3 linked regions of the Oryzias latipes genome follow. The protein of the gene in region 1 purifies or fractionates together with the protein of each later gene. This does not show direct contact. Links are inferred from orthologs where the notes say so. Each region holds a gene or a part of one and is shown on either strand. Other genes may lie near its edges.

Region 1 (3,753 bases):
ACAAGAGATGTTTATGCTTCAGCCTCTACGCTTGATTGGTGGAGAAAGTGTTTAAAATAAGAGCAGCTGGCAAAAGTAATTGGGCAAAAACGTCGCAAGAATTGGTTGAATTCATGTGAACTGGTGTGATTGCAAAATCCAAGAGGATCTGATGGAACAACAAAGAAGTCCTCGATCTAAAATAGAAGTACTGTTTATGATTCAGGTAAATTGCTACCTGATATATTGTGCAGGAGCGAGTTTGTCGGCGGCCCGGACAGGCATGGCTGCAGCAATCTTTTGCGACACCTGCTTTTGTAGAGCGGCCCGAGTCTTCTCAGTCAACTGCAAAGAGCATCCATCCCCAACCATGAGAAACTACACATGCTTACAGTAATTAAAAACAATAAGTAAGGGCACGCTGAAAGACAATTTCACCAAATCGGATGAATGAATCCTGAATGTCTGCACGAGCCCGAGCAGCAAATTACCTCTTCTACAGCCTCCTCATCCGGCTTCTGAAGGCCTGAAGCGTCTTCATTAAGAACTTCTTTTGGGAGCAGATCAGTGTACTTGCTGTAAATCACCTACAAAAATCAAGAAGAAAATTATAGAAATAATCTCACTCAAAATTTACCAATATGGCAAAACATGCAGACTCATAGAATAGGATAGATTGTGTAAAGCTGCGTTTACACTAAATGCCATTTGCGCATTAGGAGTGTCCAGTTTTAATGTTAGCTTAACGTAAAGAAGCAATCAGATTTGATTTTGGAGCTGCACACCAGTCTGGCAGCCGCGCGCTTTTTTGGCTGTTGCGGTGCGTCAAGAGTTCAAAAATATGAACTTCGGCAAACAAGATGCGCCGCGTCAACCAATCAGGGACTCCTCTTCGGACCGGGATGCGTTGAAGATGTTATAAGTGGATCAAGACACACAAAAAAAGGTCCTGAATGCAGAACAGAAAGTCGTCAAACTGGGTTTCCCTTTCAGGAGCAGATGTGGGAGTCTCTGGATGATCTCATTGATCAAGACATGGAGACGTGCCTATCGACATTTTTGTAGAGCTCTTCAAAGTAGAAAAACGTGATATCTCAACATCATCCCTGTCTGCAGCAATGAGGCTAAAACCGTTTGGCGGTAGCTCCTCCCACATGCGTCTGGAGTGTCGTGTATGAACACCAATAGAAATGTAAGGATCAAACATGGTTTTTACAAAAAACAAAACACTATAGTGTGCATTTTTTTTAAATGACAACCAAACCAAGCTGTATTACCAAAGTTAAGATTAGGTCCCACATTTCTGTGGAGATTCTGTCATCCAGAACATCGGTTCTTCAGCTGGACTTTTAGAGGTCAATTTAGAATCTGTCAAGTCATATAATGAACCTCTCATGTTAGTTTGATAAAGTTCATCGTGTCTTGTATTATTAACTGACTTGTTGGTTCTTTTTTATGTGAAAAAATACAAATAAAACACAGCCGTGTCTGATAGGAATAGAACCAAGAAGTCAGAACCTCTCATGTATTTGTGGACACTAAGAGCAAGAATAGGGTTTTAAAGCTCCTCACTGACTGCCAGAAAGAGGAAAAGCTCAAGTACCTTATCCTTAGCCTGTCCTTGTCTGGCAATGGCATCATATTTGATTTTCCCTTCTGCGTCCACTTGAACTGCCAGGGCGTTAGAGGTCTTCTTCTTCCTGCCCATCTCCAGAGGAAACTGGGCCACGTGAATCTCTGGAAAAGCCCCGCCATCTCCGAAGTCCTAGGAACACCCAGAATGTTTTGTAGAAATGCGAAACTAGGCAGTGAACCAATGTGTAATCCATTGAAGTGCACCTCAAATGCACGCGGAACCCAGCCTTTTCTGTGTCCGTAAGGAGGGGGTTCTTTACGGGACGCAACCAGCGCAGTGGAATAGGATTTCTGGGTCCGAATCCGCTCTTCTGCTTCCAGCTGGTCCTGAGACAGCTGGGTCGGTGCCGGTAAATAGCTGTGCAAAACAGGTCCACATAATGCAGTTTAAAGACAACTTAGCAAGTCGCTGTAAACGCGGATCAGCGTGAAACGACGTCAAAGTAGCAGGAACAAAAACTGCAAACCTGAAACGTTAATGCAGGTAAAGAGGTTTATTTAACACGATATCAAATACATGTGTTTAAGTAATAGATTAAACAAACAAGCTAACTTCAGAAACGGTCGTTTGAGGGTACAAGCTAATGCTAACCCCGTCTCACTAGTTAGCACTAGCTAGCATTAGCTAACATCATAAACACAGAAAAGAGCGAAACGTTTAAAGTTTAACTAAATATTTAACGTTTAATATTAAACCAAATAAATGTATAACAAACACAGACAGAAACTCCGATCGCATTTTGTGCCTTATTCGCCAAAAGGCCTCACTTAGAGACTTACCTCGTCAGAGACATTTTCCTTTCTTCCTGAACTATGAAGTGAGCATGCGCAAGAACAGGCCGTAAGCGAAAAAGAGAAGAAGGTTGCCAGGTTTGACAATTCTAAGCTCTAATACATATCAAACCATGTCCAGTTCGATAAAAACAAAATAAAATAAAAGTACATACTCGTTTTACAACATTTTATTTGTTATGTTAACTTGTTAAGTTAATTACATAATAAAAGCCAATGCACACAAAAAACAGGCTTTCACCCACCCAATGAAAAAAACACGAAACTTTATACATACACTTGTGCTTCCCACATTTTTTTCTAATTATTAAAAAACCCTATATGTTGTATTGGCCAATCATCTATTCATCTATAAAATAAAGTTATTAAATATTTAAAATAATTGAAATAACACAGCCTTTATATTTTCTATGCATACAAATTTGGACTTGCTTTACTTCTGACGGCCGCTTATCCAAATTCCTTTAAAAATAAATTACACCCTGTACCAAATAAGATCTTCTGGCTGCATCATAACTTATAAACTATAAGAACTTTGTCTCTGAACAGCAACTACACAGTGTTGTGGCGCAGAGGATCAGAAAAAGAGCTTTAAGGCTTATTTGAAAAAAACAAAACAAAAAACACTCAGACAGTACACTACAACTCTTATTATTATTTTGTTCCAAACTTCACATTTATAATTTCTTCAAATCATTCCCTTTTTTTTTTTAAACCTTAGAGCCACAATGGATGGACATGTGGCTCCATAGCCTCAGGTTGCAGATCCCTGCCCTGGACTCAGCAGGCCAGGTTCCCAATGAAGAAACACGGGAGTCAAAGGTAAAGTTAAGAAGTTAAAGCAACATTTAAATTACACAAAAAACAACAATAGAAAAATAATAATTTTATAAAAAAACAAGGATGACAGAATAAAAGAATGATATGCTTGAATAAAAAAAATGCATAAATGTTTTTATAAATTACATAAGGATACTTCAGATACATATTTTGTTACTTCAAAAGAGGATTTTTTTTTGGTGGATGGAAACTTCCTCCATTTCCTTTGGATTGTTTTCATATTTAATAAAAAGTATCATTCATATTCAGGAAGAGACTCAGACTGCCAGAGAACTTTTGCTGAAACAGAAGGAAATCCCTTAGGATCTAATAGAAAACAGGTAGCCACCTTATTAAGTCCACTCATGGATAAGTGATTTCATATCCTGCTTTCATGCAGATGTTGCGAGTCTAAATCCTTTTTCTGTCAATCTTAAAGCCTAAATGTATATTAAAGCCTGTGATCTGTCAATAAGGTTTTTCTAAGATATCTAGCAGTTTGCACTGCTGTCGTGCAGAGACACGAAT
Region 2 (3,747 bases), on another chromosome or scaffold:
ATATAGCCCTTTACGTTGTTGACCAATCGGATGGAGCTCTTACGTTAGATGTTGCCCTACTAATTAGACGAGGGTCATTTGGAAGATAAATTTAAGGTATTTTGACTCTTATTTATACTAAACATTTGAAGGGAAATGGAAATGTTTTTGTTGTTTTTGCTATTTGTTCATTTTTTGCAAGTTATATCTTCATCGCAATATTGATCACTAATATCGCATATAGCGAGTTTTCCTCATATTGTGCGGCCCTACATACTATAATGCATACACATACCAGTACTTCCCCTTTCTTGGCTATTTACTCTTGGTTATTATTTCTGTATTGTTAAGATGAAATGCCTTCAACGTAAACTTATAATTTTATATACATTATTTAAAAAAAAATATTGAAGTGATGATGAAGTATTTTTACAAGATTGATCACATTTGTATCAGAAGAAAAAGCTATTTATATATTTTTTTAGAACAACAACAAAAGAAAGATAAAAAAAGCATTTATTTGTTGAAATTTAATATGAAACTCTTTAAAGGTTTACTGTAGTGCAGTAATAGCTGAAACCTGAAGTTTGTTACACTACACATCTGCAAGAAGCTCCTGGGGATCTTCTATCAGTCTGTGGTCGCCAGTGTAATAACCTACGCTGTGGTGTGCTGGGGGGGGAGCACCTCAAAGACAGACTTCTCCAGGCTGGAGAAGCTGATCAGGCGGGCTGGTTCTGTGGTTGGCACAAGGCTGGACCGTCTGGCTACTGTGGCAGAGAGAAGGACACTGAAAAAACTGACAGGTATCCTGGACAATACCAGCCACCCTCTGCACATGACTATCGGTAGCCAGAGAAGCACCTTCAGCAAGAGGCTGCTCCTCCCAAGGTGCGGGACTAATAGACTGAGGAACTCCTTTGTCCCCCGGGCCATCAAACTCTTTACCACCCCCGGGCCATCAAACCACTTAGGAGGGGGGAGGGGGACAGAAAGGAAAGGGAAAGGGCCTGAATCACTTTTTTTTTTTTGTATATACTGTTTGCAGATATTTAAATTGTTTTTTACTGTTCTAATCTTCCTCATTTTTCTAGTCACTGTGCTGCTTTTTCCTTTTTCCTATATGTATGTCAACCAGTGCTGTATGCGATGGAGATGTCAATTTCCATGCGGGAACCTCCCAAATGGATAAATAAAGTTGTCTATCTATCTACTAAGCTGCAGTTCCATTCCTCAACGCAAGAGGCGACAATCACGATTAATACAACACCGTTGAGACTTTTATTTCGGAAAGTTTTGACCGGAAACGGAAGTTTCTGATTAGCCGTTTGGAGTCTGTTAGCAGAAAAGGACTTTCTTTCTTTATTTTTATTTTTTTTTACTGGGGAGCGAACATGGCTGGAACGGCCTCGGTCGCTGGCGAAGTGTTTGTTGATGCGTTGCCGTATTTTGATCAAGGTTATGACGCACCAGGTGTCAGAGAAGCGGTGGGTAAACAAGAATGCTGCTTTAAAAGCTAGCTAACTTATAGCTAGTTAGAACTGTTAGCTAGCGATGCCGCATGGTAACGCGCCGTTCAATGTATAGTTGGCCAAACCATTATTATTATGATCGCCTGTATATTTCTTTAGATCTTGTCATTATAGGTTTCTGCTTTGAAACTATACAAGTTCATAATTTAGGATGAAAACCTTCAAAGCCAAAGCTGCTGTTTACCTCATCGGGTAAAACAACAGCTGAGGGGTTTGAAACAGCCGGCAGATCTGGAGAACCAGGGTTTGGTGACACTAAGTTGACATGTTAGATCATCAGGGGTTGTGGCTCATTTTTAAATCATGTTTGTATGAAAAATGGAGAGAAATCATTTGTACTTGGCCCTTCAGGCCGCTGCGTTGGTGGAAGAAGAGACCAGAAGGTATCGCCCAACTAAGAACTACCTGAGCTACCTGCCCATGCCGGAGTTCTCGCCGTTTGAGGTGAAAACCTGCAGACATTTGAAACTTGATTCCTAGTCTGGGTTGGCTAACCGGTTTATAATCCTTTCCCGTTTTGTTTTGGGTTTCAGACAGAAATCATGAGGAATGAGTTTGAGCGATTAGCCGCTCGACAACCAATGGACCTCCTCAGCATGAAGAGGTAAAAAACACACTCTGTCTGTCTGTACAATATTTCTGTAAATGTAAAAGAAAGAGAAAGTTTAGGGTGATTCCATAGAACGATTCTATTCTGCTGTGGAGGTATGAGCTTCCAGCCCCCACATCGGGACAGAAGAACGACATTACCGCCTGGCAGGAGTGTGTCAATAACTCCATGGCCCAGCTGGAGCACCAGGCCATCCGGATCGAGAACCTGGAGCTCATGTCGCATTATGGAACAAACGCGTGGAAGGTCTACAACGAGTGAGTGGCGGCCTGTGGGTCTCACCCTTTGGTGTCTGACTCTTCTGAAGACTCAAAGCTAATGTTGTCCCTTTTCAGCAATCTGGCCTTCCTGATTGAGCTGGCTCAAAAGGAACTCCACAAGTTCAGGTGATTGAGGATTGGATCATACATGCCTGAAAAGATCCAACGGTTACCATGGTTACACATTTCTGAACTTATGCCGGCAGGAAGAAGATCCAGGACCTGAACTGGCAGCGCAAAAACGATCAGTTGGCTGCAGGCGCCAAGCTGCGAGAGCTGGAGTCCAAGTAGGTTCTTCTTAAGTTCTGGTGTTCTCGTGGATGAGGGGTGATGTCTGACTCTGGTTCTGATTCCCGCCAGCTGGGTGTCGCTGGTCAGTAAAAACTATGAGATCGAGCGCGCCATCGTCCAGCTGGAGAACGAGGTGGCTCAGCTGAGGCAGCAGCAAGGGGAGGAGAACAAGGAGAACATCCGACAGGACTTTTAGGAGTCACCTCACCGGGATCCGTTGGATGGATCTGATTCGGTTGGTTTGGACGACTCGATGACTGCTGGAGCGTAGCGGGTCACTCGACTCCAAGACGGATGATGTTTGAAAGGCGTCGGTTTCCTCTGATGGAACCGTTGGGTCTTTTGTGTTCAGTTACACACAAATCATGGTTTGAAACTCATGATCGATCGACATGATCGATGTCTTTGTAGCTTGTTGTACAGTTTCTAAGTTGTGGTGGAGAAAAAAAATCCTGTTTTTGATTCAACTTTTGTTTTTTATCGTTTTAATAAAATGAACGTTTCATACACATTGTTATTTTTTTCAGTCTTTTACCTGTAAGTCTCTGAGCTTCAGAGCTGCAGCTGATGAGCTGGAAGCTAACAGATGGGAGCAGCTGGATGGTTTGTCATTCATCCCTCTTGAAGAACAGTGAAACCTAAAGTCTGAGGCCTAGAGTGAGGCGGTTTTGTGTCAGATCCCCTGTCTTCTGTACATCCACTGAACTTTGATCTCAGAAATCTGCAGCATTTTGTGCTGATCCATTTTCAAAAGTCTCAGCGTCTTCCATGACTTCCTGGATGAGTCTTCATCTTTGTTGTTGGTCAGTGGCACAGAAAGGTCACAACACATTAACTCACAACACATTAACTTACCACACAACACATTAACTCACAACCCAAAAACTCACAAAACATTAACTCACAATGGAAGTAAAGCTGCAATGGAGGTGCTTTTATCCTGAAATTAATTAGTGTATATATATATATATATATATATACACATCAAGCTCAAGGCCCCAACTGACAGTGTCCTCAGTGAATGTCTCAGGCAATGGAGAACAGAGGATACAGTGCTGGAGGACAGATCCTCATG
Region 3 (3,753 bases), on another chromosome or scaffold:
GGAAGATGTGTTTCGGCATCAAACTCACCATCTGGCTTTGCACTGTTTGGCAGACTTGCGGTGCAGCAGGGAGGCGATGCGGGACCACTGGTTTTTCCCATATTTCATTACCGCCGCCTTGAGGATCTCATCCTGAACAAACAAACAAATAATCAACAAAGACTTCACTAAACAACAAACGACTTACTGCTTTGGTTAGCAGTTGTCATTTTATGAATCAATGAATCACGCGCCTTATACTGTCTACATTTAACAGGTGAGCCCTGCCCACCCAGATCCATCCTGCAGGCCATAAATACATTACATTATCTCCTAATATTAGTTGCCATTAACTGCCCGTGTTCTTTTGTATACAGTGATGAAAGTCAGGCAAGGAAAAAATCCCTGAACTTTTCTTTGAGCGATATGGCGGCGCAGAGAGAAATTTTTGAAAAATACATAGTCTTAGATGCATTCTGGTGCATTCTGGCAGCTCGTTATTCACTTCTTAATCAAGAAACTAAGACTAATTGGAGCATCATCATTTGTCATTCAAACCCCTAGTTTGACTTAACATTAAGGACTTCCTGGTCCTAAAAAAGAATTTGGATCATTGCTCAAAGTATAACAATCCTACAATCTAAGCTTTTCCTAAAATCTGCAAAAGATACAATTGCTAAAATATAGTAACATCAAAGCCCCAAATGGCAAAAAGAACACCAGTAACTATGATATTCTATGAAAATACCTCAGTTATTTATACATTATTTCTGCTTTAGAAATGACTGATGTACAACATTCACTTGCACTGTTTTCTCAAACTATAATTACATCAAAATATGGGATCTGCTTTAAACTATAATTCTATAACATAATACATCAATTCTTTAACACCAATACTAAGTAATCTGGGAAATATCAAAACAAACATACAAACTAAATTAAATATTGTAAACATTATTTTTTAAGGGAGTGCGGGTCCAAACCATCAAATACTTATAATTAATGTCAACTATACTGAACTAAATCATGGTAATTAGGAAATACAAATAAATTAGATAGAGAAATGTATTCAAAATAAAAACTGAAACTCAAAACTAAAACTGAAATTATTTCTGAATTTGGTTTTGAGATTATTTTACACAAAAAAGTATTTGACCTACACTACCTTAAAAATATTTTTCTTCCAGCCAAGACCACTTCAATTTGTTTTTTATCGTCTTCTCACAACTGAGGTCGTGACCACGCTCAATAATGACGATGCCTGCCATTATTTTAACACAAATTTGATCGCAAACTCTTTAGATTTGTTTGTGAAAGTTTAGCGTGGGTCAGCCAGTTTTGGTCTCTAGGGAAGCAAGTCACGCTGACCACGTGGTGCAGACAGAGCCAATCAGACCCGTCGACGCATCCGAAAGCAACTAAAACGTCCCGTCATTGGTCAATTAGGCCGGGAAGACGAGAGATGGCCGCGACCATATAGGAAGCGATCCGCGGAGAAATATAGAAAATAAAGCTAAAATTCGCCGATTTCAGACCATTTTTTCATCCGGAAAGCGATTTGTCCGTAAAGATCAGGTCTTTATTTCCCGGAAAGTACGTTCGGTTTGCTCAAAAACCCGGATTTCCGGGAATTCCCGGAAGACTTTCATCACTGTGTATATAAATAAATAAAAATAAAAATTAAATAAAAAAGACATGGATGCTGATCTGCCTAAAGTTTCCCGGCTGCAGAGCGAGCAGCAGCAGCAAGTCTCCTCCCCGTGAAGAAGGCAGCGGACGTTCAGGACTAGCATAGAGGAAGACGGCTGCAAATGTTGCACTTTCACCACCTTCATCACCTTTTCCAACTAAAAACATCGATATCAAAAGTTAAATTCGCGGACAAAAGAGCGTGTACATAAACGTGCTGTGGAGAGTACGGCCTTTAGCTTTATGCTAACCTCCCGCCATTGGTTTAGGATTAGCCTAGGAGCATGCTAACAGTTAGCCATGTAAACACTTACCTCAGTGTTACGCCAAACCCCTCCTTTTATCATAATACGAGGCATCTTGATGGCTTGTTTTTGAATTCTCCGTCAACAAAATTAAATATTGCTTTAACACCCGCTATTCAGTCTAGCAGATTTTCCAGTTCTCCCTAAAAACTAGCAACACTACGAAGGAGAAACGACATGCACGGATACACCGGAAACTGTATTCTTACAAGTAGTCACCGAAAGGCACTGTGGGTAACGTAGTCTTATACCATGACTGTCTCATATGTATATATGTTATTTTAGGAAGCAGGAAAAATAATTACTTTGGGTAAATCTTAACCCTCCTACCCTTTTGCTATTAGTAGCAACAACAAAGCTGAGAAAAATGAGTCAAATGTCCCCAAAAATGTGTTTCTTACCAGATAAAATGACAAAACGGAAATCTAATTTAAAAAGATGTAATCATTACAATGTTATTTATTTTAAAAGTGTTCCATACATAAACCGAATACTACATACTTTGTAATGGTGCAATTATAAAACCTCTAAATAATGTCCTGCCTTCGCCCAACAGGAACCGGGATGGGCTCCGGCAACCCCGTGACCCCAGCAGGTCAACAAAATAGATGGAAGTTCAAAACAGAAGCGCTGGCATTGGATGTGTTCTCTACCCGCTGATTGTTTCACTGAAAACGGCACATACCCAAAGCTGAGTCCCTGATTGGTAAATGCGATGATTCTTAGGAAATATTTGCCCTATTCATTTATCAATTCATTATTTCTCATTGTATTTCCCCAATCAGTTAGGGGGGTCGGAGGTGTGAAAGAAGTGGGGGGTTGTGTGTAGAAGGGGGCCCTATTTTTCAATTTTTGTGACATTCCCATAAAAATTAGCGAGCTTCTAGTTGCAAAATTCTTTGCACAGGAGCTTGCCAATGACGACCGAGAAGTTAGATGATCGACGAAAATACCTTGTAGTTTTCGTGTGTAGCTGCTACTACAGGTTTTTTTCAAAGACCTCTTCCCGAGGCTAAAGGTCGACTTTTCTCATATTGTGGAAAAACATGAAAATTGCCACAATTTTGCCACAAACCAGCTGCCAAGCAGTGGGTTGTGTGGCCCACAATAATTTCAAAACGTCCTTTGGATATCCCCGACATGTGTTGTATGGTTTCCTTAGTGTATTTTGACTGTTTTTGTGCCTCCATTAGCGATTTTCGGCTCATTAATTTTTTATTATTATTTTTTTTATGGTTTCGCTTGCCATGCTGTCATCGACTTCATTTTTACCAGGTACTGGCGGTCTGCAAGTTTTGGTGAGTTTTCATGCATTTTTTTCAGAGCGGCTTTATGTCAGATCCAAACACTAAACATGAAATTTAATTAGTTTAATCACCTTTTAAATGAAAAAAGAGGACATGTAATAAAAATGTCAAGAACGTGTGAAAAAAAATGTAGAATAAATCAGCAAAGCAGAGTTTTACAAAATAAAACGTCCTTCATAATCAGATAAAAAATAAAATAAAAACACTGCCAAGTATGTATTTTTTCTCTCTGCTGCTTGGTACCAAGTGACCAGACTGGTACCAGTACTCATGATAAATCAATGAATGGATCAAATAGTTGGATCTGGTGGATATAACTAGTTTCCTTTTCTGCTTTAATGTTTGATATCAGAATAAACAGGCAGGTTTTAGGAGTGATGATCTTTTTATTTCAACTGGATATCTGAGGAACATCTTGATTAAATTCACAGAAATGACACCAGGCTGCTCATATGTTCTTCACAACACAG

The links.
Region 2: the proteins of snw1 (region 1) and bcas2 purify together in Homo sapiens (co-immunoprecipitation; 3 studies listed by BioGRID and IntAct, with this or other methods). This does not show direct contact. The link is inferred for Oryzias latipes from reciprocal best matches to the Homo sapiens genes SNW1 and BCAS2.
Region 3: the proteins of snw1 (region 1) and cdc5l purify together in Homo sapiens (affinity purification with mass spectrometry; 5 studies listed by BioGRID and IntAct, with this or other methods). This does not show direct contact. The link is inferred for Oryzias latipes from reciprocal best matches to the Homo sapiens genes SNW1 and CDC5L.

What each region holds. Positions count from the first base shown.
Region 1 is NC_019882.2:3,679,087-3,682,839, forward strand, and holds the start of snw1 (SNW domain-containing protein 1), read right to left. Parts: upstream 2,522-3,753; 5' UTR 2,409-2,521; coding exon 2,395-2,408; intron 1,973-2,394; coding exon 1,819-1,972; intron 1,745-1,818; coding exon 1,583-1,744; intron 567-1,582; coding exon 471-566; intron 325-470; coding exon 218-324; intron 1-217. UniProt on the Homo sapiens protein: Involved in pre-mRNA splicing as component of the spliceosome. As a component of the minor spliceosome, involved in the splicing of U12-type introns in pre-mRNAs.
Region 2 is NC_019865.2:942,872-946,618, reverse strand, and holds bcas2 (pre-mRNA-splicing factor SPF27), read left to right. Parts: upstream 1-1,269; 5' UTR 1,270-1,373; coding exon 1,374-1,466; intron 1,467-1,862; coding exon 1,863-1,955; intron 1,956-2,044; coding exon 2,045-2,115; intron 2,116-2,216; coding exon 2,217-2,378; intron 2,379-2,456; coding exon 2,457-2,507; intron 2,508-2,587; coding exon 2,588-2,668; intron 2,669-2,741; coding exon 2,742-2,868; 3' UTR 2,869-3,181; downstream 3,182-3,747. UniProt on the Homo sapiens protein: Required for pre-mRNA splicing as component of the activated spliceosome. Component of the PRP19-CDC5L complex that forms an integral part of the spliceosome and is required for activating pre-mRNA splicing.
Region 3 is NC_019873.2:1,355,315-1,359,067, forward strand, and holds the start of cdc5l (cell division cycle 5-like protein), read right to left. Parts: upstream 2,200-3,753; 5' UTR 2,031-2,199; coding exon 1,986-2,030; intron 133-1,985; coding exon 29-132; intron 1-28.